Oryza sativa Japonica Group: one gene and its partners. Each later gene encodes a partner of the first gene's protein in a complex. Links are inferred from orthologs where the notes say so. Each region holds a gene or a part of one and is shown in the gene's direction. Other genes may lie near its edges. The genes, in order: transcription initiation factor TFIID subunit 1, transcription initiation factor TFIID subunit 13, transcription initiation factor TFIID subunit 6, transcription initiation factor TFIID subunit 11, transcription initiation factor TFIID subunit 15b, transcription initiation factor TFIID subunit 8 and transcription initiation factor TFIID subunit 10.

The links.
Region 2: transcription initiation factor TFIID subunit 1 (region 1) and transcription initiation factor TFIID subunit 13 share a complex: the UniProt entries of both Arabidopsis thaliana proteins name them as parts of the TFIID complex. The link is inferred for Oryza sativa Japonica Group from reciprocal best matches to the Arabidopsis thaliana genes HAF01 and TAF13.
Region 3: transcription initiation factor TFIID subunit 1 (region 1) and transcription initiation factor TFIID subunit 6 share a complex: the UniProt entries of both Arabidopsis thaliana proteins name them as parts of the TFIID complex. The link is inferred for Oryza sativa Japonica Group from reciprocal best matches to the Arabidopsis thaliana genes HAF01 and TAFII59.
Region 4: transcription initiation factor TFIID subunit 1 (region 1) and transcription initiation factor TFIID subunit 11 share a complex: the UniProt entries of both Arabidopsis thaliana proteins name them as parts of the TFIID complex. The link is inferred for Oryza sativa Japonica Group from reciprocal best matches to the Arabidopsis thaliana genes HAF01 and TAF11.
Region 5: transcription initiation factor TFIID subunit 1 (region 1) and transcription initiation factor TFIID subunit 15b share a complex: the UniProt entries of both Arabidopsis thaliana proteins name them as parts of the TFIID complex. The link is inferred for Oryza sativa Japonica Group from reciprocal best matches to the Arabidopsis thaliana genes HAF01 and TAF15b.
Region 6: transcription initiation factor TFIID subunit 1 (region 1) and transcription initiation factor TFIID subunit 8 share a complex: the UniProt entries of both Arabidopsis thaliana proteins name them as parts of the TFIID complex. The link is inferred for Oryza sativa Japonica Group from reciprocal best matches to the Arabidopsis thaliana genes HAF01 and TAF8.
Region 7: transcription initiation factor TFIID subunit 1 (region 1) and transcription initiation factor TFIID subunit 10 share a complex: the UniProt entries of both Arabidopsis thaliana proteins name them as parts of the TFIID complex. The link is inferred for Oryza sativa Japonica Group from reciprocal best matches to the Arabidopsis thaliana genes HAF01 and TAFII15.

The regions. Positions count from the first base shown.
Region 1 is NC_089040.1:27,235,762-27,239,959, reverse strand, and holds the start of transcription initiation factor TFIID subunit 1, read left to right. Parts: upstream 1-1,398; 5' UTR 1,399-1,618; coding exon 1,619-1,670; intron 1,671-2,832; coding exon 2,833-2,945; intron 2,946-3,906; coding exon 3,907-3,969; intron 3,970-4,054; coding exon 4,055-4,097; intron 4,098-4,198. UniProt on the Arabidopsis thaliana protein: TAFs are components of the transcription factor IID (TFIID) complex that is essential for mediating regulation of RNA polymerase transcription. Core scaffold of the TFIID complex.
Region 2 is NC_089035.1:13,333,485-13,337,754, forward strand, and holds the start of transcription initiation factor TFIID subunit 13, read left to right. Parts: upstream 1-1,470; 5' UTR 1,471-1,513; intron 1,514-1,600; 5' UTR 1,601-1,774; coding exon 1,775-1,979; intron 1,980-2,064; coding exon 2,065-2,102; intron 2,103-2,354; coding exon 2,355-2,414; intron 2,415-4,270. UniProt on the Arabidopsis thaliana protein: TAFs are components of the transcription factor IID (TFIID) complex that is essential for mediating regulation of RNA polymerase transcription. May be involved in polycomb repressive complex 2 (PRC2) mediated repression.
Region 3 is NC_089035.1:18,531,957-18,536,125, reverse strand, and holds the start of transcription initiation factor TFIID subunit 6, read left to right. Parts: upstream 1-1,369; 5' UTR 1,370-1,672; coding exon 1,673-1,798; intron 1,799-2,948; coding exon 2,949-3,035; intron 3,036-4,169. UniProt on the Arabidopsis thaliana protein: TAFs are components of the transcription factor IID (TFIID) complex that is essential for mediating regulation of RNA polymerase transcription. Required for proper pollen function. May stabilize the interaction of TFIID with selected promoters.
Region 4 is NC_089035.1:28,595,761-28,599,886, forward strand, and holds the start of transcription initiation factor TFIID subunit 11, read left to right. Parts: upstream 1-1,326; 5' UTR 1,327-1,367; coding exon 1,368-1,687; intron 1,688-2,315; coding exon 2,316-2,403; intron 2,404-3,348; coding exon 3,349-3,448; intron 3,449-3,689; coding exon 3,690-3,817; 3' UTR 3,818-4,126. UniProt on the Arabidopsis thaliana protein: TAFs are components of the transcription factor IID (TFIID) complex that is essential for mediating regulation of RNA polymerase transcription.
Region 5 is NC_089035.1:3,330,238-3,334,238, forward strand, and holds the start of transcription initiation factor TFIID subunit 15b, read left to right. Parts: upstream 1-1,201; 5' UTR 1,202-1,259; coding exon 1,260-1,311; intron 1,312-1,389; coding exon 1,390-1,660; intron 1,661-2,308; coding exon 2,309-3,176; intron 3,177-3,931; coding exon 3,932-4,001. UniProt on the Arabidopsis thaliana protein: TAFs are components of the transcription factor IID (TFIID) complex that is essential for mediating regulation of RNA polymerase transcription.
Region 6 is NC_089037.1:23,460,522-23,464,530, reverse strand, and holds the start of transcription initiation factor TFIID subunit 8, read left to right. Parts: upstream 1-1,209; 5' UTR 1,210-1,508; coding exon 1,509-2,714; 3' UTR 2,715-2,822; intron 2,823-4,009. UniProt on the Arabidopsis thaliana protein: TAFs are components of the transcription factor IID (TFIID) complex that is essential for mediating regulation of RNA polymerase transcription.
Region 7 is NC_089043.1:20,160,801-20,164,813, reverse strand, and holds the start of transcription initiation factor TFIID subunit 10, read left to right. Parts: upstream 1-1,213; 5' UTR 1,214-1,364; coding exon 1,365-1,544; intron 1,545-1,640; coding exon 1,641-1,705; intron 1,706-2,046; coding exon 2,047-2,109; intron 2,110-2,692; coding exon 2,693-2,750; intron 2,751-2,837; coding exon 2,838-2,888; intron 2,889-4,013. UniProt on the Arabidopsis thaliana protein: TAFs are components of the transcription factor IID (TFIID) complex that is essential for mediating regulation of RNA polymerase transcription.

The DNA.
Region 1 (4,198 bases):
CCCAACTTGTATAGGGCCTCTTTTGGAATGGAGGATTTTTTCAGGAATTGAACTATAATTCCTGTGGAATTCCTATAAGATTCCTACGTTCGAAAGGGCCTTAAATGATTTATTTAGGCCCATAAACTTTCAATCTAGGGTTTATAAGTTTGCAAAATTTATATTAGTACTACCTCCGTCCCAAAATAAGTGCAGACATGAGTTTCCGCGCCCAACTTTGATCGTCTGTCTTATTTGAAATTTTTTTATAATTAACAATTTTGTTGTTATAAGATGATAAAATATGAATAGTACTTTACTCGTGACTTATGTTTTTATTTTTTTTTTCAAATTTTTTTCAAATAAGACGAATGGTCAAAGTTGGGCGCTGAAAATTATGGCTACACTTATTTTGGGACAGAGGGAGTAGTTCACTACAAGTCCAATCTGCCAAAAGGTTACATCAACATGTTATGTGTGAATAGCGACCAGAGTTGAGTTGTGGGACTGGGGACAATCAGAAGACGGGGGCGTCTAAGTGTCTACTCCCTCCGTTCCTACAATATAAAGGATTTTGAGTTTTTGCTTGTAACGTTTGACCATTCGTCTTATTCTATTTTTTTTTCAAATATAAAAAACGAAAAGTTGTGCTTAAAGTACTGTGGATAATAAAGTAAGTCACAAATAAAATAAATAATAATTTCAAAATTTTTTGAATAAAACGAGTGGTCAAACGTTACAAGCAAAAAAAACTTTAAATCCCTTATATTATGGGACGGAGGGAGTAACTATTAGCCATGTTTAGATTTGGTGTTTAACTATTAGTCACTCATATATAAATAACAGCTCTCATGTGTCTTTGACATAGGGGTCCAGTGACAAGTGACAGATAGTTAATTGTCACAAAGTGGTAAATATTTAAATCTCTCCCAGAAAAGGGCTGGAGAGAGGTGATCCGTCCGCCCATGGGCTGCTATAAAAAGAGTGACGGCCCATCTAGTGGGAAGATTGGGCCCTCCAATCTAACGTCGGTTCCCACCGCGTAAACGGCCCAGATCTCACGCCAGCCCGGCCCGCCTGCGCCCGCACCCCCCACCCGCGCCGCCCCCGATCCGCACCCCGCATTCGGCAACCGAGCCCTCTCCTCTCACCGATACCTCCGCCGCTCTCGCGATCCCCCTCCCCCCCCCACCCTTCCTCCCCGCCCCTCCGCCGCCACCCTCCTCGCCGCCGCCGCCGCCTTCGTGCAGGACCCCGGCGCCGCCGTCGACGCGGACGACGCTGTCCCCGCCGCCATCGCGCTTTGAGATTCGTGCGACTGACGTTGGAGGCCCGTACGTGGCGCGGATCGAGGGGAATCGCCCCCCCCCCCGGTCCCTGGCTGGACTCCACCTCTCCGCGACGCGCTCCTCTCCTGGCGAATTTTTTGTTTATTTATATTTGGGAGTAATTGGCTGCGCTCAGCTCCGGTCCAGCGCCCGGCGAATTCCACCGTTAGCGTCGCTAGGGTTTCGGTGGCCTGCGCGCCCGGCGGTGGGGGGGGGGGGGTCTGGCGGTCTAGGGTTTGCGGCCGCGGCTTGCGCCGTCGCGGCGCGGAGGCGTCCTCGTCGTTGTTGTTGGTGGGGCGGTGGCGGAAGCCATGGGCGACGGCGAGCGCCGCGAGGACGAGAACCCGACCACCAGTGCCGCAGGTAAGCTCGATTCCACGGAGCTTGTTGCCTTTTGGTTTGGTTTCTGTGGTCCCGCGACGCGAGCTTCGATCCCCGGGTGGGACTGTCTAGGGTTGTGAATTGCTGCGACGAGGAGGCAGGGTTTTGATGCGATTCGGTCCGCGCGCTTGTGTACTTTTGTGTTTTTTCTGTGGCCAGGCTTACACATTACGCTGTAAATTCGGTGCCTGGTAATGAAGGTTGGATTTGATGAGCTGCAGATTTGCTGTCTGGTGTCCTATATATATATGATTAGATGATCATTTTTTTTTGAAAGTTTAGGAGGGGTTTGGACAAAAGCTGTTTCTTTCAGCAAGCTCCCCGTGCTGTCTTATCAATTGTCATGAACTTTCTAAGCCCTGAAGGAATACCAGCATGCTAGTATCTTTTACTATATAAATAGTTATGTATTCTTTCCGTTTTGAATTGTGACTGGATAGCCAACCAATCTGGGTAAAACGAGATGCCCAAGATCATGCAACTATTGCCACAACTGATTACTATATATATATATTCATTTTAGAGAGCAGAATTCCATGTCCAGTTGTACTCCAGTTTCCTCATCTAAATATGGAATTCATAATACATATAGTAATGATGAATTAAAAAAGATCCTTTAGCTGGATAAGGGCATACTTTAGCCAAGTGAATTTTCAATGCAGCATGCATGGTGCTCATTCCTGTGTCTACTAGGGAAGTGAAGCTGTAGAATGAAACAACGGACTGTCTAAGATTCTCAATTGCCAAAAGATCACATGAACCCTCTGAGAATCGTTTATGGCTGCAAAGCAACATTCTTCTGTTTATACATGTTGCATTACAAGAGTTTAGCATCATTCTGCGAGCCTTTTTTATCAGTCTTTCTAAGTTCCGAATTTGACTTTGTTGATGAGATGTCAATTCTTTAAAATCTGAATTCATAATAACACCATCTGTTTTTGTGGACAATAATTTTAGGATGTGAGTTGCAGTGTGGGGATGGACAAAATTGCTTTTAAGTTTTAATTGTTTTGTCCTTTTCTTCTACAATCTGGATTATTGATTTGCCATAATAATTGATGAGTGTTGATTAGACTTGATCAATTAGTACTGAGTTAATTGATCCAACCAGTTATGCTGTTGCTATTTTTGTTATCCTTTGCAGATGACGATGATGATGAGGATTATGATGAACCTGGTGGAGGGAATCACTTCTTGGGCTTCATGTTCGGCAATGTTGATGATTCTGGTGACTTGGATGCTGACTATCTCGACGAGGTAGTTGAACAATTTTTGAAATGGTGGAATATCCTTTTTTTGTTACATGTTTTTTTAATAAAAAAATATCATGCTGCCTCTAGCAGATATACTGCAGAATATGCATGTTAGTTAGCATTTCTGTGTGGATACCCTGTGATTTCTCCTAGATGATATAGTCCAGTAAAGAACTTGTTAGGTGGGAGGCAATTTTTTATTTGCCACTGAATGATTCACACAATTCCTTTACACTGAGATGTGGACAGAGTGTGCAAATTAAAGGATTGGGTAAATTTACAGCAGTGTAGGAGGAATATATGCAAAATAAAAAGTTTGCTCAATGTAATATTGATGTACTCCCTCCGTCCCAAATTATAAGGCCTATATTTTTTTACACGGTCTACAATGACATACTCTGACCATTAATTTATTTCATATTATGTTATCAAACAACTATAAAATAAGTATCACAATAAAGTATTTTAAAATACAAATATAATGATATAACATGCATCATACTTAGCATAGATATAGCTAGTGTAATTATTAGTCAAAATTTATTGAGTTTGATTTTCCTTGATACAAGGACGCCCTATAATTTGGGACGTAGGGATTATTGTTTTGGCAGTATGGATGTAGTCCTTTCATCTCACCACTCACCATCATAAGTTAATTTCTTGGCACTACAGCAGCATGGACCTACCTCTAATGGCGGTCCATTCACTACATTTTATTTAACATGAGTCCTTTATTTTTTTCCCTGAACATTTAACTTTTATATATTTTTCTAATTAGAGTTACCAATTTCTTGATAGGATCCAACATAAGTACTGAGCATCTTATACCCCACAAACTAATAATGTGTCAGTATTGATTTTGTTACCACACGTCCACACCATTGGATAGAGTTAGTATTGTATACAATGAAATAAGTTATAGCCGCATTTCTGTTGTATCACTTCTATTTTCCTTGATTTACCAGGATGCAAAGGAGCACCTTTTTGCACTGGCGGACAAGCTTGGCCCATCTTTGAAAGACATTGATGTATGCTATCTTATAATCATTGTTAAGTTAATTTGACTTATATTTTCCTTGTCAAACAAGTTAATACTGTCGTTTTCTTATATAGCTGATCAAGCCTTCTGCAGCACCAACTGATCCTTCTGAGCAAGGTAAATCGCAAGTTCGTAACTCTATAATGCATATTTTTATTGTTTCTTCGCCTAACCCTGTTTATAACAATTCATTATTTTCTGCCCTTTCTGGCAGCTCC
Region 2 (4,270 bases), on another chromosome or scaffold:
GAGAAGAGATTGTAGGTGAAGAAGTTGTTATATTCTGGGATAAATTTTGAATGTTAGAAGTTGTTATATTTTGAGACGGATGGAGTACTAAACTCGGTGGCATAAAGTCAATTCCTTAGTACCAAAGATAACAAAAAAAAAAACAAAGTGGGAGGTAGGCAACAAGTTTTAGGAATTAAAAAAAAAGGGCATTGAGGAACATTCTAAAAATGAAGTTGCCATTGAAAAAAGATGAATTCATATCTCCACCCGTTTCTCATTAGGTCCATATCTTCCAAGAATATTACTTTGGAGTATTGAAAGAGTTAAGATATCAAGTTGCAAGTTGTCATGTCATTTAAGACCAGAGGTTTGCCACTCTTTCTCCTTGTGCACATTACCACCACAACCACTAATCTAGTTGTAGGTCCCATTGCAAATCCTTGTTCATTCATCGTCATCGGTCCTTAAGCACATCGCCATGATCTAATTTTAATGGCACTTAGATTTAGCCATCTCTTTAGCGGCGGTGGCAAGTGCTCCAACATTGACTTCTAACTTTCTATTGGAAACGTTTAGCTATTTGGTTATCATTATTGTCGAGTTGTTGACGCTCTACTCTCTATTATCAGATCTAGCCATAGGTACAATAATTTGCCTGTTCCTCGTCCTTTCCCTATATGAACCATTTTCTTCACATTTCTAAGTACTAACTCATTATCCTTTTTTAAGTGCTCTAATATTTTTGAAAGTGTTATTTCTCCTTTATCTTTAAGTGGCTCATGTCTTCTTTATCTATGCTCTCCTGTATCTCAAGTCTAATGTTGCAATCACTGACTGAAAATCACCCAGTTCTCGTAAAAATGCCGTGGGGACTGGTTTACGAAAACTAAGTGGTTTTACTCCCTCAAATATAGCAACCTTGTACCTCTGTCCAGATTCATTGTACTAAGATATGTCTCATCTAGTACAGGTTGTTATATTTTGGAACGGAGTGAGTAGCAATTTTCGTATGAAATTGATTAAAAATTGCTATTCTTATTGTTTTTTTTACCAAACCGATACAAACCGGTCTTCACTCGAAAACGGTAATGCAAAACTGGACAATATGGTGTGTTGCAAAATTTCTCAAATGGCCCGTTTGGTTGGAGAGAGTTTTCAGGAGGGATTGGGAGTTTAGAGGGATGAGGCTATTAAGTGTTTTGTTTGGTTGGGAGACATAAGAATTTTGGTGGGATGTAGATCCCTCCTTTTCAATACGGCAGGTAATTGGGAGGGAATTCCTCCTTTACTTTGTCTAAGCAAATCTCAGCCATCCATTTTTATTAATGACCTAATCTCTAACTAAACTCCTTATCAATTTTTATCATCTCTACCAAACAAGATATTAGGATTAAAAATTAAATTCTCATCTTAATCTCATCCGCAATTCCCTCGTGTAAACTCCAAATCATACCATACAAGCCGCAAGGACCGGAAAATTCTCGAATCGCCGCCGGTACGCTCACCAGCTGCTTCCTTCCCTTCGCCGCCGGTACGCTTCCGCCGCGATTGCCTCTCCCCCTTCCCGGCCTTACGCTCCGCCGCTAGTGTGAGGCTGACTCCACTCGTTTCCTTCCAGTTCGCCCCTCAGAAATCCATCACGGCTGTGCATAGTGCACGCGAAAGCCCTAAATCCAAGCGGCGGCGAGGAGCGAAGGGAAGGGGAGGGGAGCGCCGCCGGCCGTCGGGAAGAGGGGGCGGGCGGCGTCCGTCTCCCTCCCTCACCCCTCGCGTCCTTCGCTCTTCCGCCGGGATGCAGAACCCTGGCGGCCACCACGCTAGCCCGGCCTCGGCGGCCAAGTCCAAGTCCTCGACCGCTGCCGCCGCGTCGGCGTCGGGCCAGGGGAGCTCCCACCACCACCACCACCACCACTCCGGCGGCGGCGGCGGCGGCGGCGGCGGCGCCGACGCGTCCGCCACCACCCTCAAGCGCAAGCGCGGCGTCTTCCAGAAAGACCGTACGGCACTGTTTTTTCTAAACTTTAGTACTGCTGCTGTTCTTCGAATTCGTTGTTTATGCTGCATTTTTCCCCGTTCTTGCAGTGCAGCACATGATGTACGGATTTGGGGATGATCCAAATGTAAGCCCGACCTCGATCTATGCCTTTCATCTCTTAATTTTCAGGCTAGGAATTGTTTGGGGATAGGATGCAATTTGTGTACTTTGTGTTGTGGAACATTGGAGGTAATTAACACCGACAACGACAATAATTGCAAGTAGGCCATGGATTTACAACACAACTACATGATTGCCTAAGAAAGAATGGACATGCTGTTCTACCTTTTAAGTTAAAATCTTGTATGTAAATGACATCTTTCTGTTGGTTTTGCAGCCGCTTCCAGAAACTGTTGCACTTGTGGAGGACATTGTTGTAGAATATGTCACTGACCTGGTAAGCTTTCATTGTATTTGTCTTTCTTGTTTTCTACTGAAATTACATTTATGAAGGTTGTATGGATGAAAGGAGTTTATTTGGATTTCGACATCCTTATTTGTTGCCTTATTTAATTCAATTCTAGTGTTCTGGAAAGAGTGATTAGGTAGTTTTCTGGAAAGAGTGATTAGGTTCAGTGCTTCTGTTTGTCGGGAAACATGAAGCCTTTTATGTTTTGAGAATTAATAGGGGCTTCACTTTAACCTATAGTTCATATTTGTGTAGAGCCCAAGGGCTTGAAGTTTGAACACTGGTTTCGGGAAAAAAGAACTACTCCCTCTGGAAAATAAGTTGCCAGGTCTCTACTGGACAAAAGTTCGATTCCAAAATTTTGAATCAAAAAACCAGTTACCAGCTAGTTACCGGCAGTAAACCAGTTTTGTGATAAAAATATTGGATTCGAACTTTTTGCATGCTAATATGTAATAATTCAGATCCGGCATATGAAAGTAAACTAGTGTACCTGTACATGAAATTTCAAGAAAATATAAAGTTATACTTTATTCTTATGGTCTCAAATCTGAACTTTAATTTAAGTGTGAACTGTACTTTGGACTAGATTTTATTTCCTAAGTTGCACATTGGATTAGGTATTATCAAAGGTTTTCACTTTGAACCAGCTTATGGTATCAAATTTTGCACTTTGGACCATTAGTCCCACACGTCAGCCTCCATATAGTCATCTTCCTCGTCAGTCCTCTCGTCTCCTCTCCTTGTGCGCCATCATGTGCTCTCGTTGCGGCAGCTCATTTGTGCAGGCCGCTATGGTGGAGCATCTTGCCAAGCCTTTCTCAGCTAGTCCACCACAAATAAAAGCCTTAATTAACTTTTTCCATCCTCAGTTCCCTTCTCAATCATAAACCACCAGATAAGTTGAAGAGCTTCATACAGTGACAAACCTTCCAGACCTCTCCATGCTAATCACCTGACCATCCCCTGCTCTTGCACCCACTGGCCGGAACACCGTCTCAGCGCTATGGTGGAGCATCTTGAGCTCAAATCAGGGGCTAACACTAGTGGAGCTCGAGGCTGAGCAAAAGCTGGAGCTGGTGGATTACTGTGCATAGGCAGAGTGTAGCGATTGTGATGGCATTGGTAGAACTGCGGGTGGAGAAAGAGTTCTACAGACAGTTATATAAGCCCAAATTGCAACATAGAGGCAAACATACATAATCCAAAGTAAAAACATTGGCTAGAGCATATGGTTCAAATAGAAAGTTGGGTAAATATTCCTAGCCCAAGGTGCAATTCACTCCAATTTAAATTGTTCTGGCTGGTACACTCCATACCTGTTCAGCAACGGTTATAGTTATCACCAGGATTTGCATCTCTTGTGGAGCCCTTTTTGTTAATGATTCATAGAGCTTTGCCATCTTTTGGCAGTTCTTCCCTGCTTAAATTATCTGTAAACTATATTAAGAAAGGCATTTTCTTTAAAGTCTCTATATAGTCTACTTTCCTGCATGATATGGAACCTTGAGTTTGTAATCGTGCATAGTGTAAATGAAATGTACCTGTGACATGGGGTGAAGATATCTAAACATGCCCCACTTGTCTGAATATATTTTTGTAGATAATTTGTCCATGCGTGATCTGAATACGCGACGATATGAATTTATTAGGTCTGTTTACCCTGCAGACTTACTTTGCCCCAGGTTGTTGGACAAAATTTTTACATGACTACAATCTAGTATGCACTCTGTAACAGCAGAAATACACACCAAACACAAGAATTTAGTTAACTGTAATTTTTTATTTGATTTTAAATACCTGCATGTGGATAAAACCATATGTGTATGTAATGTTTATTTATG
Region 3 (4,169 bases), on another chromosome or scaffold:
TACAAGAGATCCATGTCAGCATATTTTCCTACTTGGAAGAGATTAAATGAAGAGAGAGAGAGTATAGCTATCTACTAATCTGGAGATAGTCTATAGAGAAAAACGAGACAATAGATTAGAGAGCTATAGATATCCATGTAGACATACCATTGAAGTGATTTACTATTAATTTAGTCTATTGCTGAGATGTACATGTTTTATAGATAGCACTTTACATTAACATTGCGGGTGCTCTAAGTGATCAAATATAGTAACCTTTTTCGTTTTAGCAAGAAAACTTGGTTTCTAAGAGCGGGTACAATAGTGCTATTAGGAACGCTCCAAAACTTGTTAATCAGTCTAAAACGAGATTAAGGAAAGAAAATCAGTGATTGAGAAAGAAGCCGTCGCTTGTTCTGGCGCCGGCGCTTGTACAGCGCTCCACGCTGTATCGGCCAGGAGATACAATAAAAAAATTTGTTTGTGGGTTCTACTGCTTGTTAATTCGTTTGAACCAAGGTAGTTTATAGCTAACTTGTAGTTAGCTTGTTGTATGAGATGCTTTTTAAGTTAGCTCTACTTGAGACATGATAAAATTTTAGAGCCTACTACTAGCTGCACTATTGACCTTGCTCTAATGGCCGCGCACACGCCGACTGCTTAACTCGGGCAACGCCCCCCTCTCCCACACCCTGCGCGCGATTAGTGCAAGACGCCCGCCGCTAATTATAGTCATTAGTGATAATTACAGTAATTACTGTTAATTATCATAATTAGCATTTTTCAAAATACATAAATAATTTTAAATTTGAGTTAATTTTTTTTAAATTTTGATATGGAAGTTTTCATTAAGTTTTCAGTTAGAAATGAAAATTTAGAATTTTGAGTTAAAAGTTTTACATTTTTGCGATGAAAATTTTTAATTGTGAGTTGAAAGTTTTTGAAATTTGAATTGAAAGTTTTCAAAATTTGAGTCAAAGTTTTGATTTTTGAGTTAAAAGTTTTGAAATTGGAGTTAAAAATTTTCGAAACTTGATTCGAAAGTTTTCAAATTTGAATCAATTTTGAGTTGAACGTTTCAAAATTTAAGTTGAATGTTTCGAAAAATAAAAAAACGATAAGGAAACGAGTGGAGTCGAAAATAAGGAAACATAGCACGTGGATTTGTGGGCCGAAAATCATGGCGAAAAAAGGAAACAACAAGTAGGCTGGTGGGCCGAAAATCACGGGAAAATGTGAAAACAGCACGTGGGCTGGTGGGCTGATGCGCGACCATACTGACGCGTGTGCGGCAGATAAGAATTTCGCAAGTAAACACCCTAGAGAGAAGTATATAACCAATTGCTCCCTAAGCTAGGAATATATCCTACGAAGTAGTTTTCTATTTTACGAGAAATTCTTGATTCACAAACGTTTCCCAGCCACACTCGGTCAAATCCTCTTCTCGTCGGCTCCGGCGTGCATGCCAGCGGCGGCGGCGGCGGCGAGAAACGCTGGCGAGGAGGCAGCGGCGAGCGCTTAGATGCTAGCGAACCAGCGAAGAGGGCACTGCAGCAGTGGCGGATAGGCGGAGGCTAGAAGGGAGCAGTACGGCCAGAGAGCTAGGGTTTGGGTAATTTGGCGAGCGAGGAGCGAGGGGAGGCGAAGGGAGAAGAGGGGGGGGGGGGGGGGGGGGAGAAAGAGCGGGGGAGGGATGAGCATAGTGCCCAAAGAGACGATTGAGGTGATCGGGCAGAGCGTCGGCATCGCCAACCTCCCCGCCGATGTCTCCGCCGCGCTCGCCCCCGACGTGGAGTACCGCCTCCGCGAGATCATGCAGGTCCGTCCCCCCCGCGCTCCCGAATCTCTCGCTTCCCTTCGGTTTTAGTTTCGTGCACTTTGGGGGACTAGGAGGCAACTTCCACCATTCCCTTCGTAGGAAAATTGCCTGCCCCCCCGAGGCGTGGATTTGTAGTTTCTGGGTGATTTGGGACCGCAGGGAGCAATTGCTTGCTCTTTGTTCTTCGTTCTCTCAATTGATTGCTATGCTCAACCATTGTGCTAAGTTGTGTGGTGGAATATTTGCGATAGACCTATTCCAATGGGTTTTGAGTTTGCTGGACGAGATGCGTTTCCATCTTGTTGTTTGAACATGCTGGTTCACACTGACTGCTTAACTGTGTCCTGCTCAATATATGTTCACTGGGTTTTTGTAGCAATGCAATATATTGGACGGTCTTCATAGCAATGCAATATATTGGACGGTCTTCATAGCAATGCAATATATTGGACGGAAGATGGTTGTTTTTTTTGTTCACTATTGTCTCTTCAAAAGCATTGAAGCACACCATTACAGAGTTTCTGGACTGTTCAATCTTCTCTCATTCGATTGCATGCTATAGCTTACTGGTAACATATGTTGGGGTTTTGTTCCTGTTTTATCACCATTTTTTTTAATTTGTATATATTTAGTGAGGTAGTGAGTCTAAGAATTTGCGTTCTATCCACTATTTACACGATAAATTCATCATTTGAGGTTTTCTTTACTGAATCTTGGAAATATGTTATTCCTATCTGATCTTTACTCATAAATTTTGGAAAACTATCATTGACAAACTACAGAGTTGTCACAAAAAATACAAATTTAACACTGCATTACCAGAAAAATACATATTTGAGCCATATCACACAATTATCGATTTAGCACCGATTTTATCATGAAACTACAAATTTTACAGGTTTCATCTATCGTGATGAACTTTTCATAAATTGTAGTTTTCTCATAAAGTCCGTGCTTTATCTGTAGATCTATAATCTCGTTGCTTAAGTTATAAATTTGGTGTTACATCTGTTGTTTTGCGATAATTTTCTGGAAGTATATGTTGATCTGCAAAATTTGTATGTAAGCATATAAATATTCAGTCACAGAAATGCCATTCCATTTTCTCCTAGGCACTATATGTATTTTATTATGCTGTGGATTGTGACAGGAGGCCATCAAGTGTATGCGGCATGCAAAGAGGACAGTCCTGACTGCCGATGATGTTGATAGTGCTCTCAGCCTCAGGAATGTTGAGGTAGTTTCTATTTCGTTGACAATATTTTTTAGGACTACTAAATAAAGGTTTTGTAGATCTAGTAACTGTTGTATGCTTGAATGCATCAAACTTCTGAGTTGGATAGCTAAATAGTCGAGCTCAGTATTTCTCGGAATCAGCTCATTATTAAGCTAAAAGTATAAATGTTTAAGAAACTTAGAGTTGACGATCTTTTCATGGAGACATGTTAGCCATAAATAAGGCAAACTCTATGCCTGTATCTGTTTTTGGTATGTCTGTTCCCTGACATATAAATGCCATTGCAATCATCTCTTGTTTGAAAACTGATACTGCAATTGGTAGAGGCTTTTGGTGTCTGGGTGTATTCGGTGGTTTCTTCCCCTCTCTTCTTCTTTAATACAAATATACAATCCTTCTGTTCCATTTGAGAACACAGCTCTCCTGTGTGTTCGAGAAAACAAATAATGTCTTTAAAGCTTGACATGTAATTCCTCAAGGGAACAGCTGAACTGAGCATAGGGGAGAAACCATATCCTTCCATTCAGCCCCCTATTTCTCTGACACCCACTAGTTGTGAGGTTACTGCAGTCCAGTAGGATGCTGATTTTACTTTGCGTGGAACTGAATGAGAGAAAGCTGAATAAGTAGGATGAAGCCCAATAGTGTACGCTGGGTAAGATGGGGGAAATAATCCATGTGAAAATACAAAATAAAATATGAGATATGTATTCATGTCAAATGGGGTGTGCTAAGCTAAATGCACTTTATGTTAGAATTTGATGATTATGTTTTTTGTTTCAAATCAAGGACTGAGAACTATGTATTAAACATTGCCAATGTGTTTATATGCTGTTGTATATGACTTCGTATGTAAAAGTTTCCTACTTTGCTTACAAGTAACATAATGCCCCTTTGCCACGCTCAATGTTAGAACTGGGAAAATGTGAAACTGTTTTTCTTTTAATTTCAGATTAAGAACTGAGAAGTATATATTAAACATTGCCAATGTGTTTATATGTTTTGTATGACTCCATATATAGGCGTTTCCTCCTTTTTTGAGTAACATAATGTCCTTTTTGGCACTCTCAATATTATCACTGGGTTGGTTTAGCGTGCTAGGTTGGTTTCTTTGATGTTACTTTTGCTACATAT
Region 4 (4,126 bases), on another chromosome or scaffold:
ATCTCTTTTTGTTTGTCGCACCCCCCCCCCCTCCCCCCCTGTTGCTGAAAGCGATCAGCGCAACCGAAGCGAGGAATAATAATCGGCAATGATAGCGGGAGTTTGGTCAGACGAGCCTCAGACGAACAGCCGGTCGAATATTCACTCTCATCACCAGCAAAGCGGAAAAAAAAACACGACGATATATGTGGCTCTCGTCGTTTTATATTCACATGTATGATGTATCATACGGAGTATGATAGTATATATGTGTGTGCATATAGTATGTTGTTTTTTATATTCGTGGAGCAAAGTGATCGGCGCCAGAAAGCACCTTTGTGCCGTCAATTTTATTCAGGGGAGAGAGAGCTGCAAGAACTAGCGAAGAATATTGTTGTGTGATCTGGGTAAGTAATCTAATGGCGAGGCTTTGCTTGGGCAAAGAGGAGGTCAATGGTGAGCGAGCGAGAATCCTATGCGTTAGGATTAGCGGCAATAAACAAAACGGCCTCCACTAAACAAGGCGCGATACGGAGGTAATGCAAAAGCTGTGAGAGGGGGGCAAAGCAAATCCTATCCTCCTCCTGAATGCCCAAATCCCAGCGTGATCGATCGGGGTTGTTGTTTTTGTAGCTGCTTAAGCTTTTTATTGCACACGTTTGATGCATCGTTCTCAGGATGGGTCTCTCGGTGGGTCAGTGCCCACGGCTTGGGAGTTTTCTGGTCCCGAAAACCTGTTGCACGATGTGATACGTCTCGAACGAAAAGATGAAACTTTTTTGTTGCTGTTCTGATGATGGTAGTAGTAGTAATCCTGTTTTTTTTTGTTCCTTTTTTCTTTACTTTGCGCCCGGCCATTGTAAGGTCCGCATCGGAGGTAGGCCACATCACGGTTTCAACTGTGTATAAGCGTGTAACATCTGCCGTTGCTGAAAGAATGCTCCTCTGATGTTGTTCTCTGACGTAAAAAAGGAATCTAGGATTATATGTGATATATTCTAGTATAGTGTGTTCAAATTTATGGTATTAGGATGTGTTATATCTAGTACTAAGTTGGTCTTTTATAAGACGGAGGGAGTACGTCGTTAATATGTAGGTTCACGAACTGCAAAATTCATATGTCAGTTAGAGAATTTGTTTCCGCCGCTGCTGCACGCGCCGTGAGGCGTGAGCTGCTCAGCGGTGGCGCGTTCGGCACGAGCGATTTGATTCACCGGTGAAAATTCTCGCGGCCGCCACGGAGAAATCGGCCCAGAAATCCGGCCCGAGAAAAAGGCCCACGCGCGAAGCAGCCCACCAAGCCCGGCGGCGGCGAGCAGGTAGGTCAACCCCGGCCCAAAAATTTTCAGAAGACTCTGGACTCTTGCGATTCGTCTCCAGCCGCGGCCATGAAGGACCCGTTCGAGGCGGCGGTGGAGGAGCAGGAGTCGCCGCCGGAGTCGCCGGCGGCGAACGAGGAGGACGCGGCCGGGGCGCCCGAGGGATACGACGGCGCCAGCGGGTCGCGCGGGCCTCCGCTGCGGCTGCCTCCTTCGAGGGCCGCGCCATCGGGCTCCGGTGGTGCCGCCGCGGCCGCGGCGAGGGGTAAGGTGGTGCGGGTCCAGAAGGAGCAGCAGGAGGAGGAGGATGACGAGGAGGACCACATGGAGGTCGACCTCGACAAGCTGCCCTCCGGCACCAGCGACCCCGACAAGCTCGCCAAGATGAAGTAGGTGCTTGGCTGCGCTCATCCTAAACCTAGTTTTGCCTTCTTCTGGTGCGTGCTATATATGAAGGGTTAACTGCATAAGGATCAACTAAATTCAGGAACCATATGACCGTCTGTTGAGTATATACGTTCTTTGATCGAGTTCAGTGTTTTAGCGTCCTTCACCCTTTTAACTTTGGTTAATTTGTGACAGTAAGATTTGTACTAGTGGAAATTTCTGAATTGGAGTAAGGATTGTTCGTGATTGTAGTTACAGAACAACCTGACATTATTCACTTCATAAAGACTGTAGTCCCAGTTTCCAGCTATATGTGAAGCGTTTACTGGCATAAAGATCAGTTAAAGTTAGGAACCATATGACTGTCTATTGAGAATATGTTCTTGATCAAGTTCAGTGTATTTTGGTGTCCTTCACCGTTCAACTTTGGTTAATTTGTGACAGTAAGATTTGTACTAGTGGAGATTTCTGAATTGGAAAAGGGGATTGTTCTCAATTGTTTGTGATTTTATTTACAGAACATCCTGACATTATGCACTTCTCAGATTTATGTTCCAATATATATAGTGAAATATTAAACCCATCTAAATAAGAATTCTATGTTTGAAAAACTATGTACTCCTTTTCCAGTGCCATACTGTCTCAATTTACAGAAGACCAGATGAACCGGTATGAGTCATTCCGCAGATCTGGATTCCAGAAATCTAACATGAAAAAGGTATGATCTCATTCCCAACATCCATTGATTTAATATCGTACAAGTATAAACTGCAATATCATGTGCGTGTGATGCGTGTGGCGCCTCCATCTGAATTGGCTTCAGTGTTCCCCTTTGCAATAAAAGCTTTCCACAAAATGTGGATCACATTAACATTTTCTGCTTTCTTAAGTCTTACAGTTACCTTATTTTCTGTTGAATAACACCTGTTCTATTTTGGTTCATGTTTCTTTTGTGGATGCATACCATGAGTTGTACAATGTACCATGCATGTCTTGTCCAAATTGTTGATAGAGCTTCATGTACAGGACAGTTGATTTCGCTCCAAGTTGTAGATAAATACATTTTTGCCTATGTCATCGTTTCTACTGATTGTAAGTGATGTACACTCTCTAAATAAAAAACCAAACTTGGTCAATATTCTTTTCTTCAATTTATAGGCAGGCTAAGAAAGCCTTTTTGTAGTGTCAATCCAAAGTTTGACCTTTTTCTCGGTAAAAATGTTACTTTTGGCTGTTGAATGCCTGAAGTTAACAATGCTTTGAAATTACGTTCTAGTCAGAGGGACAAGTGCTTTAATGTATTTCCTCATCAGTGGTTGAAATATGAGATCACTGCGTTATTGGAATGTTTTTCGGAGTTGCTAGAAATATGGCGCCATATGCTACAGTCGATTTTTTTTAACCACTTACACAGTAGTTACACCTCATTTACACCCCATTTACATATGTAATTAGTATGTAATTTCGAATTTACATATGTAATTTTATTACTTACATATGTAATTTTGAGACTTACATTGTAAATACACTAAAATTACATATGTAATTTAGGGACTTACAATGTAAATACATGCCGACTATTTTTTGATGAAAAATATGACGCCATAAATATAGCTACACCCATGTTTTTTTAAAGTTGATTTGATATTCTGTTTCCATGCAGCTATTGGCGAGCATTACTGGCAGTCAAAAGATTTCTCTACCAACAACAATTGTAGTATCAGGAATTGCAAAGATGTTTGTTGGTGAGCTTGTTGAAACAGGCAAGTCTAGAGTAATTATCTTATTTACTTTGTTGCTCATAGAACACTACCACCAAAGCACCTATGATTTTGATGTATGCTCATCTCTTAAAGCAAATCACTCTTATGACTGATCTTTTGTAATCGTCCGTGTTCAAATGTCCTTTTCTGCTTTCCATAAACTTGTTCTCTGACATCAGAAGAAAAAGGAGGGATGGCTTTATTCACTTTATTTTTGACAATTCGATTGTGTCTGTTGCAGCTAGAATAGTTATGACTGAGAGGAAAGATTCTGGACCAGTAAGGCCTTGCCACATCAGAGAAGCCTACAGAAGATTGAAACTTGAAGGGAAGATCCCACGGCGGACTGTTCCCAGGCTCTTCCGTTAGAATTGAAGCATCTCTGTTGATCCCAGTCGACACTGAGATGGTCCTTTCTGCGGTCAGATGCGCGGAAAGAGAGAATGACATGAGATGTATTTCTTCAGCTTTGTGAAATTGTTACTGTGATTTCTGTCGCAGCAAGGGAACCAGAGCAAACAGTACGTACAAGCTGAAGTACTACGGTACTACTAGCCGTGGAAAATTCTATGTATAAAGTATTGGCCGTAGGCTGTGAATTTTCAGGCTTATGAATAGTTGAACTGTGTACTATGCTGTTTGGAGTATGCGCTGAATCTGATTATATGCTTGTCTGCA
Region 5 (4,001 bases), on another chromosome or scaffold:
ACGAACTGACATCTTATTTTATCTGTAAAATGTGCAGTTCATGTAGGAGCATGATGTGCGTCCATGTTTTGTCTGAAACCGACTGAAAGATAAACAGAGAGCACTGGAGTAAGAGAATTTTCTGATTGTTTCTACATAGGAGTAGGAGAGTTTAAGGCGAAAGTTACTGGATGGAAAGGAAGTCTGACTAATCGAGCTTACCCAAAAATTCACAAAACGTAGCATCTCCATCCCATCAAGAGCAATATGTGCTCTAGTTCTTGTTTTTCATCTTGAGGGAGAAATTATCCGATTAAGTTTACATGTCTGAAGAGCCTAATCATTTTTGTATATCACTTATATGTGCTGTCCTAAAGATTTGATTTATGGAAGAGTAGAAGACAATTCTCACTTCACATTCCAAACAGGTCATAAATCGACAATATCGCTTGTTATTGTGCGGTTTCCGCGGTAACCGGACTTACCTTTGGATACACTAATAGTAACTTATCCCGTCAAATTCAAATAAATTTACATAATAATATGAACTTCTAATAGCATCGTCTAGTTTTTCATGGTTTACCGTGTGATTACCGTGCTTACGATTGGGTGCGGTAACTCAACCCCTGATGGTAAGGTTAGCCCTGCTCTAACTAGGAAAAAACAATAACAAACAGATATATAAGACACAGGTTTAACATCAGTACTCTTAACTATTCCCTCCGCTCAAAAATATACTACCTCCATTCTAGAATATTCGTCGTTTTGAGTTTTTTATTTGTAATGTTTGACCATTCGTCTTATTTAAAAGATTATGTTATTATTATTTATTTTGTTTGTGACTTGTTTTATTATCAAAATACCTTAAGTATGACTTATCCTTTTTAGGTTTGCATTATTTTTTAAATAAGACGAATGGTCGAATATTGCAAGCAAAAAGTCAAAACGATATCTAATTTGGGATGGAGGTAGTAATAAATTTTGACACTTTCATTTGTCCACAAAAGGCTAGTGAATATTATTAATGGGCTGGGCCAAACACCCACCAAAGAAAATTCCCAATGGGCCTTGAGTGATCCCCAATATACAGCCCATTACATGTACACCCCAGCAATCCAGGCCCACACGCAGCGAGAGAATTCGACTCCCGTTTAATTCCGGCCCAAATCCATCTCTTTCGACTGCTTACTTCTGCCCTAATCCACACACGTATCAGAAATTCGGAATACTCTGTTCGCACTTGCCCTTCCGGAACGCTCCCAAACCCTAGGCGCGTGACCATGTCGGGGTCGTACGGATCCGACGACTACCGCGGCGGCTACGGCGGCCGAGGTCGCGTCGGGATCCTGCGGGTTGTGTGCGTGCTTGCTTCTGGATCTGCTCCTGACTGGCTTGTGGTTTTTTTTGTAGGTGGCGGCGGAGGCGGCCGTGGGAGGGGAGGTGGCGGAGGAGGAGGGGGAGGATATGGTGGTGGTGGTGTGGGAGGTGGATATGGTGGTGGTGGCGGAGGATATGGCGGCGGTGGCGGAGGGTACGGCGGCGGTGGTAGAGGTGGCGGTGGAGGAGGAGGCTACGGCGGCGGTGGCGGCGGCGGGAGAGGTGGGGGTGGGGGTGGCGGTGGCCGAGGTGGCGGCGGGAGGGGTGGAGGACGTGACGGTGACTGGGTTTGCCCAGACCCGAGGTTTGTTTCGTTTACTCATTTGACGTTGTCTCGTTTGATTCGACTGTGACTGATGAAATCGTGGTTGTCCCGATTGTCTTGTAAATTATGCTACTTGGCCATGAAATCTAGGGTTTTTAGGTTGTTAAATTATAAATTATTGGGTTATTTGATAATTTGGTTTAGGATTTTGCATGGGGCATGTGTGAAGTGTCCTACTAAATTTTTGTTTCATCGTAGTATTGTGAGCATCAGAACTGCCAACAAATAGTTAACTGCATAATTCATTCTCTATGAGAGCTCCCTATAATCTTAGGTCACAAGTGCTAAATTTATGTTGAACCTCTAGATACATAAATATTATGTTATACTTGTCTCCCATGATTTCTTCCCCTCCCCTATGTTCTATTTTCCTTGGTATAGCAGAGTGGCAGAGAAGAAATTTCATATATGTTTTTGAAATGAGTTCATGGTGTTATTGGAAGCATTACAAAATACAGTAAATAAGCACTACAAAATACAGTAAATACTTTCTTTTATGAATATGTTTCTTTCAATATGGCATTAGTTGTCTTGCTGAGTTGGTTATATTTTGCAGAATATTCGGTTGCAATTTCATTGGTTCTCTTCCAATATTCCTAATATATTTGTTTATCATTCTTGTTCCAGTTGTGGCAATGTGAACTTTGCAAGGAGGACTGAATGCAACAAGTGTGGAGCACCTTCTCCTGCTGGAGGTGGAGGTGGAGGTGGAGGTGGAGGGTATAATAAATCTGGTGGAGGGGGTGGAGGCTACAATCGTGGTGGTGGCGATTTTAGTTCTGGAGGTGGCGGTGGCTACAACAGAGGTGGAGGAGATTACAACTCTGGTGGCCGTGGTGGTGGCACTGGAGGGGGAGGAAGAGGAGGAGGTTACAATAGAGGTGGTGGCGATGATCGTGGATTTGATGACCACCGTGGTGGCAGGGGTGGTTATGGGGGAAGAGACCAAGGGAACAACCAAAGGGGAGACGAAAGTGGTTATGACGCTGGTAGCTATGGACAAGTTCCTCCTCAAGGTCCTCCTTCCTATGGTGGGCCTGGTGGTGACTATGCAGCACCTCCAAGCTCCTATGGAGGCAATAATGCATACAATTCAGATTCTGCAGTGCCACCTCCTAGTAGCTATGGTGGTGGTCCAGGTTCATATCCACCAAGTTATGGTGCACCACCTCCGAACCCGCCATATAGCGGTGGTGCTCCAGGTGGCCAAGGTAGCCTACCTCCTTCATATGATGGTGGGTATGGTGGTCGGCCTATGCCTGGGGGTGGAGGCCCTGGTGCACCTCCACCCTATCATGGTGGTGGTGGTGGTGGTGGTGGCGGCGGCGGTGGCGGCGGATACACTGGCAGTGCTGCTCCAGAGCCAGCTGCAAAGGTTAAGCAGTGTGATGCAAACTGTGATGAGACTTGTGATAATGCAAGAATTTACATCTCCAACTTACCTCCTGATGTGACTGTTGAGGAACTGCAAGAACTATTTGGAGGAATCGGCCAGGTATACTTTGACCTCCTCTTGAGCTCCCACATATTTAGTGTTTATGAACTGTGCATTTCACGATTCGCTCACTGAAATATTTTGTGCATTTTATGTCTTTTTTCTAACCTCATGTTTTTCATTTTATGTGTTTCGCCATAATATCTTTTTCCAGTGTTACTGATATTACTTGTTGGAATTTAAGTAAATTTACAAATCAGTATTCAGATGATGTTTATAATCTGTAGTTGGGCTTGTTAACATTTTTTTCCCCTTTTGCTTTCACTACTGCTAGCACATTGCAAGTCATAGTTTTGCACAAAATCTGCTCCATCTGTTGTATACAGCGCAGTTAGAGCGAGCTTATTACATATTGTTTTTTTCCTTGCTAGTGGAGAAGTACACCCTTGTGTTTCAATGTGCATAATTAAATTTGGATATTTGTTTTGATGTAACATAATCATCTTGCAGTAATGATGCTCTTTTTTTTTGTAGAAGTAGTAGTACTGTAATTTTAGTTATAACCAAGCCATTCAATGATTTTGTAGTAATTTTGCTTTACTCCCATATTGGTATTTTATGCCAAATAATTCGTGGCATATCACCCCATGATGTTAATGTAAAATCTTTGATAATAAAGTAAAGTTGGTTTTACAGATTACTTAGTGTTCCTAGCTAAATTTATTGCAAGAAATTAATTTCTTTAGTTTTGGGGGTGGTAACTGCTTGTGTTTCATGGCTGTGTTTTGAGTTTTTGCAACTGCTTTTTTCTTAAGGTTGGAAGGATCAAGCAGAAACGTGGCTACAAAGACCAGTGGCCCTGGAACATAAAGATCTATACTGATG
Region 6 (4,009 bases), on another chromosome or scaffold:
TACGACACAACCCTACAAGTTTAAGGACCGCCAACACACTTTACTCTTCTCTAAATAAAACCAATTTAACCTTTGAGTGTCCGCCTACCCTATTAGGGCAGTCCCAACCCATAGTGTCCATAAGCAGTGTCTATGATATCATGTCAATAAGACATCACAATAGAAACTACACTCTACAACCCATGGTTTCTTAAACTAGGCCACTAATAAATACATCATCTCTCTTCTCTACCAATCATATTTATTCTTCATCTATTATGAAGATACTATTCTCTCCCAATACAAAATTTGATAGTGTCTAGTGCATAGGTTCTCGTGTTGAGGCTGTGTCTTGCATGAGACCCAGTTTCTTCCTCTCTTCACTTACTCTCTGAATTAATATAGTGCCATATAAGCTAAAAGTCCTACATGGCAATGTAGTTAATGCTATAGACACCATCCTAGATGGAGGGTTGGGGCTGCCCTTAGGGCACCCACAATGGTTATCTATAGGCTCTCTACAAGAGATCTATGTCAGCATATTTTCCTACTTGGAAGGTATTAAATGAAGAGAGAGAGCAAAGCTATCTACTAACTTATAGATAGTCTATAGAGAAAAACGAGGCAATGCATGAGAGAGCTATAGATACCAATGTAGACATACTATTGAGGTGGTTTACTATTAATCGAGTCTATTGCTGAGATGTACATGTTTTATAGAGAGCACCTTAGAGCACCCGAACCATCCGCAATGGTTCAGGTGCTCTAAGGTGCTCTCTATAAAACATGTACATCTCAGCAATAGACGAATGGTTCGGGTGCTCTAAGGTGCTCTCTATAAAACATGTACATCTCAGCAATAGACTCGATTAATAGTAAACCACTTCAATAGTATGTCTACATTGGTATCTATAGCTCTCTCATGCATTGCCTCGTTTTTCTCTATAGACTATCTATAAGTTAGTAGATAGCTTTGCTCTCTCTCTTCATTTAATACCTTCCAAGTAGAAAAATATGCTGACATGGATCTCTTGTAGAGAGCCTATAAATAACCATTGTGGATGCCTTCCATGTTGACTTTGTTTTGTATAGACCATAGAAGCACCCGATAATCCACCCATCGAGTGACAAAGCTCCTGAATCGAGAATGGAAAATCCTGGCCGTTCATTCCCCGCCGTCGGAAGATGGCCGAAATCTTCCTGTGTTGAGGCATTCCGCATTCAGCCGACACGCCTCTCTCTCTCTCTCCGCTGCTGCTTGTGTCCTCCTCGCTCTCTCGCTAGTGTAGTCAACTCAAGTCGTCTCCCTCTCCCCATTTCGCCAGCTTGGGGTTTGGATTTCTCTCCGAATTCCGAGCTCCGCCGCCTCCGCGTGCCCGATTCCCCAACGGTCAACCCCTAAACCCTAGATTTCCATCCCGATTTCGACCACCGGTGCTCGAATTCCCCCGCAATTTTGGCGCTGCCACTCCCCCCCTCGATGGCGGCGCGGCCTGGGTTCGCGGCGGTGGGATAGAGGTGCCGCCGGTATGATTGGGGCGCGGCCGAGCGCGAAGGCGAGCATGAGCAGCAGAGGCGGCGGGGGTGGTGGCCGGGCCGGCAGGGTAGGCGGCGGTGGTGGCGGAGGAGCAGGAGGAGGAGGAGGAGGAGGAGGGGGAGGAGCAGCGGCGGCAGCAGCGGGTGGAGGAGGGGACTTCGGGAGGGCGGTGGCGAGGGCGGCGGTGGCGCGGATGCTGGAGGCGGCTGGCTTCGTCTGCGCGCACCGCTCGGCGGTGGACGCGCTCGTCGACGTCCTCCTGCGGTACATCTGCCAGCTCGGCCGTGCCGCCACGTTCCACGCCAACCTCGCCGGCCGCGCCGCCGCAAACGAGTGCGACGTCATACAGTTCCTCGAGGAGTGCGGCGCGGCCTACTATGGCTTCGCGGGGGCCGCCTCGGTTTCTGCCCGTTGCCTCGCCAACTCCGCCGTCGTCAAGGATATGGCCGTGTTTGTTGGCGCGTCCAAGGAATCCCCGTTCGCGGGCCGGCCATTGCCGAGGTTTCCGGTACAGCGTGTGCCGCTGCACTCGACGACGAGCTTTGCGGTCTTGGGTAGGGAGAGCGGGATGAGCCATGTCCCGGAATGGCTCCCGGCCTTTCCGGAACCTCACACGTATGTGAGGAGCGAGTTGTGGAGTGAGGAGGTGGCTAAGGCTGGGGCGGATGAGGTGGAGCGGGCGCGGCAGCGGAGGAAAGCTGAGAAGTCGCTGCTCAGCCTGCAACGGCGTCTTGCTCTTGCAGGTGCCGACGGGTTCCGACCAGGAATGCTGGTCGATGATGCAGTCAAAGCGAACGGACTAGATGTGGTTGAGAGCAAGGCGAATCCGTTTCATGAGCGAGCTTTGCCTTATGGGGAGAAGGCGGTGTCCGAGGTTACCATGCCTGGTGTGGGGAAGACATTCTCTGTTGTTGAGGCCTTCGCACCCGCATTTGAAGAATCAAAAGGTGGAGAATTTGATGAGGGTATGGATCAGGGCCAAAATGATAGTCAGACTCAGAAGAGGGTTGTTCCAAAAGAGAGGCCACCGGTGTATTTTAGAATTGGGATTGATAAGAAGTCAATGGTGATGGCACTGAATTCGAGAGCTCTGGTTGAACTGAAGGATCCCTGGTTCTTCAAGGAGGATAAGGAGCAGAGGGCAGAGTTGATACTAAGGGAAGCAATGGATAATCCACATGAACTTACTCAGCTTTAACGTTCCTGTATGTTTGCAGTACCCACAGAGCTGCATGGTGAATTTTGGACTGGCTAAACTAGGGACTTTTCAAATTCATGTTGGAGCAGCATTTGCCAAGATCTTGAGGTTTGTTTGTTTTTTCACTTAACTGTTCCTGGCAGATTTACTTCATAGCCATTACGTGCATCTCTATTAATTTGAGTGTATAACTGAAAACCACATAACTACACAAGAATATCCTTTTTTTTGTAATATGCACATTTTGTATTTAAAAGTACAAAGTTATCACATCACGAGATAACAGAGAATGCTACATGGATGGTTTATGTGTTGAATATATGTGGTAGTCACATTCTGTTATGCTTTTCCTTAAAGCTTTGGTTAGAAAAATAGCATCCACTGTATACAGTTCAAAAATTGCGAATCTACCTTCCACTGCTAGTTCTGATTAACTGGATTCCTTGTAGGCTACCACCACCGCACTAATATCCTAAATTAGAAGGATTGCTGATACGCACATGCAATCTATCTATCTATTATATACTAAAAGGTCATTAAACTTCCTCAAAACGCTCTCAAGCCGCCATATGGTGCTCTAATAAACTACTTCCTCCGTTTCACAATGTAAGACTTTCTAGCATTACTCATATTCATATAGATGTTAATGAATCTAGCCACATATGTGTATAGATTTATTAACATCTATATGAATGTGGGCAATGCTAGAAAGTCTTACATTGTGAAACGGAGGAAGTAAAGAAAATCGTAGAAAATCTGAGAAAAAAAAAGCAAAACATCTATCCCTTGATTTTCACTTAAATCAGTGGATCTTTAAATAAATCCAAACACGAAAAGTGACTATACTGTTCCACCTCTCCTTCCATGGTATATATATGTACGTACGTTAGTACGTAACTTTTTTTCTTTTCAATGTATATAGTTGAGACAATTATTATTACTATTATTAGTGATAATAAATTTTAAATAAAAGTTACTTTACAAACATAGAATAATATATCAGCATATAACTCTTTTACAAGTATACATAAATGAATTAGCTCTACAATACTTGAAAATAAAGTTTACACCATTATATTATATTATGTACCCATTATTTTAGATTATTTTATTAATGAAAATATTTGTCCATTTCTTTTGTTAAGTAGTCATGGTTGGTTTTACAAAGTTTCATTAATTTTTGTGATATAAATTATAGCGAACTTATTGATTATAATTTACATGACAAAACTATATTGTTAACCGTATTATATAATAGAAATAAACTTTACTTAAAAAACTTCAAAATTTATAAG
Region 7 (4,013 bases), on another chromosome or scaffold:
TCCTTCTCCTCTTCGAGATGAATGACGAGGGTAGAAGGCCGTTGATGAGTTCCCGAGCTTAACAAGTAGAGTAGCGAGGCAACCTCCCTGAGCTCAATGAGGCGAGTGCCGACGACTTCCCTGAGCTTGTGTAGCAGGCCCAGCGGCATCGGCTCCTTCATTGAGCTTATCGTGGGATCGAGGTTGTGCTGCTGGCACTTGTCTTCTCTGACCTCGGCAAGTGGGTGTTGGGGGGGGGAGAGCTCTGGGTCTACGATGACAGCAACACTTGGATAGGACGAGTGGCAGCGGATCTCAGAGCTTATGATGACATCGAAGCTTGGGTAGGAGGGGCCGATTACTGCCCATCAACCCTCCTTGGAACTTGCTGGTGATCCCGTCTTCTCCGTGCTCAGCAGTTCCTCTTCTCCAAGCTCGCCGCCAACCCCCCTCTTCTCTGACCTCAGCCAAGGGGCAAGCTCCACATCGAGCTTGCTGCCAACCTTCCTTTTCTTCCGAGCACGACCAAGGGGGTGGGCTCGGCACGAAGCTCTCCGCCGACCCCTTTCTTCTCTATGCTCGCATCTAGCTCGCAGCTCCGTCCATCTCGTCATGGCTGCCTCAAGCTCATAGAGGGAGGGAGTCGAAAGAGAGGGGAAGGTGAAAGAAGACTGTAGGACCTGCTGACGTGGTGTAAACCGCTCAGGGGGTATAAAGTGAATGGTATTAAAAGTTAGAGGGTGTGAAATATCCGGCTTTAGAGTATTGGGTGTATCTCTACTATTATAAAAACTGAAGATGTTTTTGCTAGAATTTTGGTTTGTCATCCATATTTGAGTCGGTTTTTAAGTTCGTTCACTTTTGAAAATACAGAACCGTGTTTGAGTTAGATTTTAAGCTTATTTCCTATTGGAAGTAAGTCGTATAAGAAATCTTTTAAAAAAACTCACATGCTAACTTCAAATTAAATACGGTCTCCTAATTGCAGCTCATGATTTTCTGAAAAAATATCCAATCAAATTTTCACAGTGAATTTTACCGTAGCTAAACCGTATAACAACAATAAAATTAAAATAGCATTTACCCGTTCCAATGCATAGACTTTTTTTTTCTAGTTTTAGACAAAAACGAAGACTTCATAGGTGTAAAATAGACTTATCCCTTTTTTTTCCAAACGGGCCTGAACTCCGCCCATCCTACGCTTATTACCAAAAGGGCCGGAGTACAGCCCACCACTCCCCTCCCTCTTCCCCCCTCCTTCTCGAGCCTCCGGCGACGACGACGACTCCCGCCGCTCTTCCTGGTCCATCGGCGGCGAACTTCCCCGCCGACGTGCCAGATCTCAAACCCCACTAGCTCCTCCGGCGAAGGCGGGGGACCAGAGGATGATGGGGAGCAACAGCGCAGGCGGAGGCGGCGGTGGCGCCATGGTTCCGGGGGGCATGGGGGGAGGAGGGCCCATGGGGGCAGCCGCCGCCGGCGGCGGCGGCGGCGGAGACGGGCGGCACGACGACGAGGCGGTCCTCACCGAGTTCCTCTCCTCCCTCATGGACTACACCCCTACGGTACGGCGCCTGCCGCCCATCTTGCCCTAGCTTCCCCCTCTCTTGGGTTTCGTGTCTGATGCGGTGGTGGTGGTGGTGGTGGTGGTGGTGCGGCAGATTCCCGACGAGCTGGTGGAGCACTACCTTGGCCGCAGCGGCTTCTACTGCCCCGACCTCCGCCTGTAAGCACCCCCATCTATCTCTCCAATAGTTCAATCTCTTCTCTCTTTCAGGAAGACTGCACCGTGCCTTCCAGGATGGGCCAATTGGTAGTTATTAAACTGAAATTCGTCCAGTGCCCGGAAATCACTGAAGAGATTTGGACTGAATTTTGCCTGATTCTTAGTACGTACAACATGGTGACAGTTAGATCTGATTGAGGCTGTTAGGATTGCATTGTAATGCAGCGTGTTGCCATTCTAGTCGAGGGAGAAAATCGCTGTATCCCTTTCAGCTTGGTGATTGTTGGTCGTCATGTGTGACAGCATGGCCTTATGAACCATAATTTTTGTGTTCTCTGCAGAACGAGGCTGGTTGCTGTAGCCACCCAAAAGTTCATTTCGGACATTGCAAGCGACTCTCTTCAGTATGTAACTTTTACTGCCTCATTCGTTTTGTTTTCCAACTTAAACGTATGTGCGATTATTTTGTTCCTTTTTAGTGGTTATCGATTCTTGGAGTCGAATTTTCGTTACCTTCAGATAGTGAATGAGAAATATGATTTCTGATGATGGTCATGAACCATGAGGTTTCTTGCATCATTCATAAATGGAGGTGTATGCAATATGCTTCATTCTTGAGATGTTGAGTAGCCTCATTTCTCCTATGCTGGCAGCTTTTTGAGATAACCATGTTGATTTTAGGCTTGTTTTCTTCATACTGTCAACTTGCATCTTCTTTGTGCTTCCTTTTTTTTGTTTCTATCATCCTTCTCACATTATGACCATGGAATGAAACATCAAACATGGTATCTTATGTCTATATTGTTAAGACAATAGATTGCGAAATATGCATAACATTGATGTGGTAGGGAATCTAATTTCAGTACTGACTGAAACTTTATGTGTAAAGTCAAGCTTCTTATGGTGTTGCTTGTATCATAACTTGTGACAGTTAAAAGGTATCATGCACACTAATTTGTTCATCACATGATTATTGTCCTGAACTAGGCACTGCAAAGCCAGGGTAGCAGCACCTATCAAAGATAACAAGAGCAAGCAACCTAAGGTGGGTTTAATTGCAGTTGGTGTACCATGGTACTACTAGCATGAAATCAGTACTTTTATTTACTGGTTCAGTCATTCTGTTCTTCAGGATAGGCGTCTTGTGTTAACAATGGATGATCTTTCCAAGGCCTTGCAAGAGGTAAACCATTTTCCTGTTGAATTTAAGCTTTCCCTTTTACTGCAGCTCACCAGTTACCACTGTACTTTACGTGATTGAAGTCACAGTTTATTCAGTTTGACGTATAATTGCAATTATTAGTTTTATTAGGACTTGAATCTCTGCATTAATAAATCTACTGTAGAATGGATTTAGTTAACCTTTTTTAGACCAATGGGATTACTTGTTAATGTTTTTTTTAATGAAACAAGTAGCCAAATTGATCAGTTGTATATGCTTCACGATGCTCACGATTAATCACAATTCAGATAGACTAATCAACTCAACAATCAGTCACAGCCTACTTGTATTGGAATATTTTACCAGAAGAACAAATGGGAAACTATTTTGATCCCTTGAGGGGATGTGCCGCTTAAAAATCATCTAAACGGTTATGAAAAATTCTAGAAAAATTTGACAACACTTATACAACATATCTATACAACTTCACAAAATCTTAAGTCCAAATTCAACTCACACATCGAGATATAAAAAAAGACAAATTCAGCGTATAAATAGTACCGCACTGTTAATATCTGAATTTGTCTTTTTGGGTTCTCGATGTGTAGGTCGAATTTGAACTTTATTTTTGGTGGACTATTAGATATAATTGTACTCTACATTGTCAATATTTTTCAGAATTTTTAACAACTATATTTGCATTGATTTTGAAAGAAAAATATATACGAGGGGACATCCCCTCGAGGGATTAGAATCCACTCCCCAGAACACATACATTATAGTACATGAAATAAGCATTTAAGCAGACCTGGGATGAGCTGCTCATATACAGGGATGAGCTGCTCATATACAGGTCTATTTGACAAATGATCTTCTATGCTTTCCCTTCCCAGCAATATTCTTGGCAAATGACTGATTCAGCTATAATCACATCATGGTCAGTACACTTATGTTTACAATTCCATGGTTCAGAATCAATCTACCTTCTACACACGAAACCTCACACAAAAGGGCATCCTTGACATGTCACAATATCACATAACTCTGGACTGTAATGCTCTACAGATGAGCTATCATTATAGAAGCTTTGTGCTTTCATGAAATATGTTTGTTCCACATACTACCAATTTGAGATTTATTTTTGTT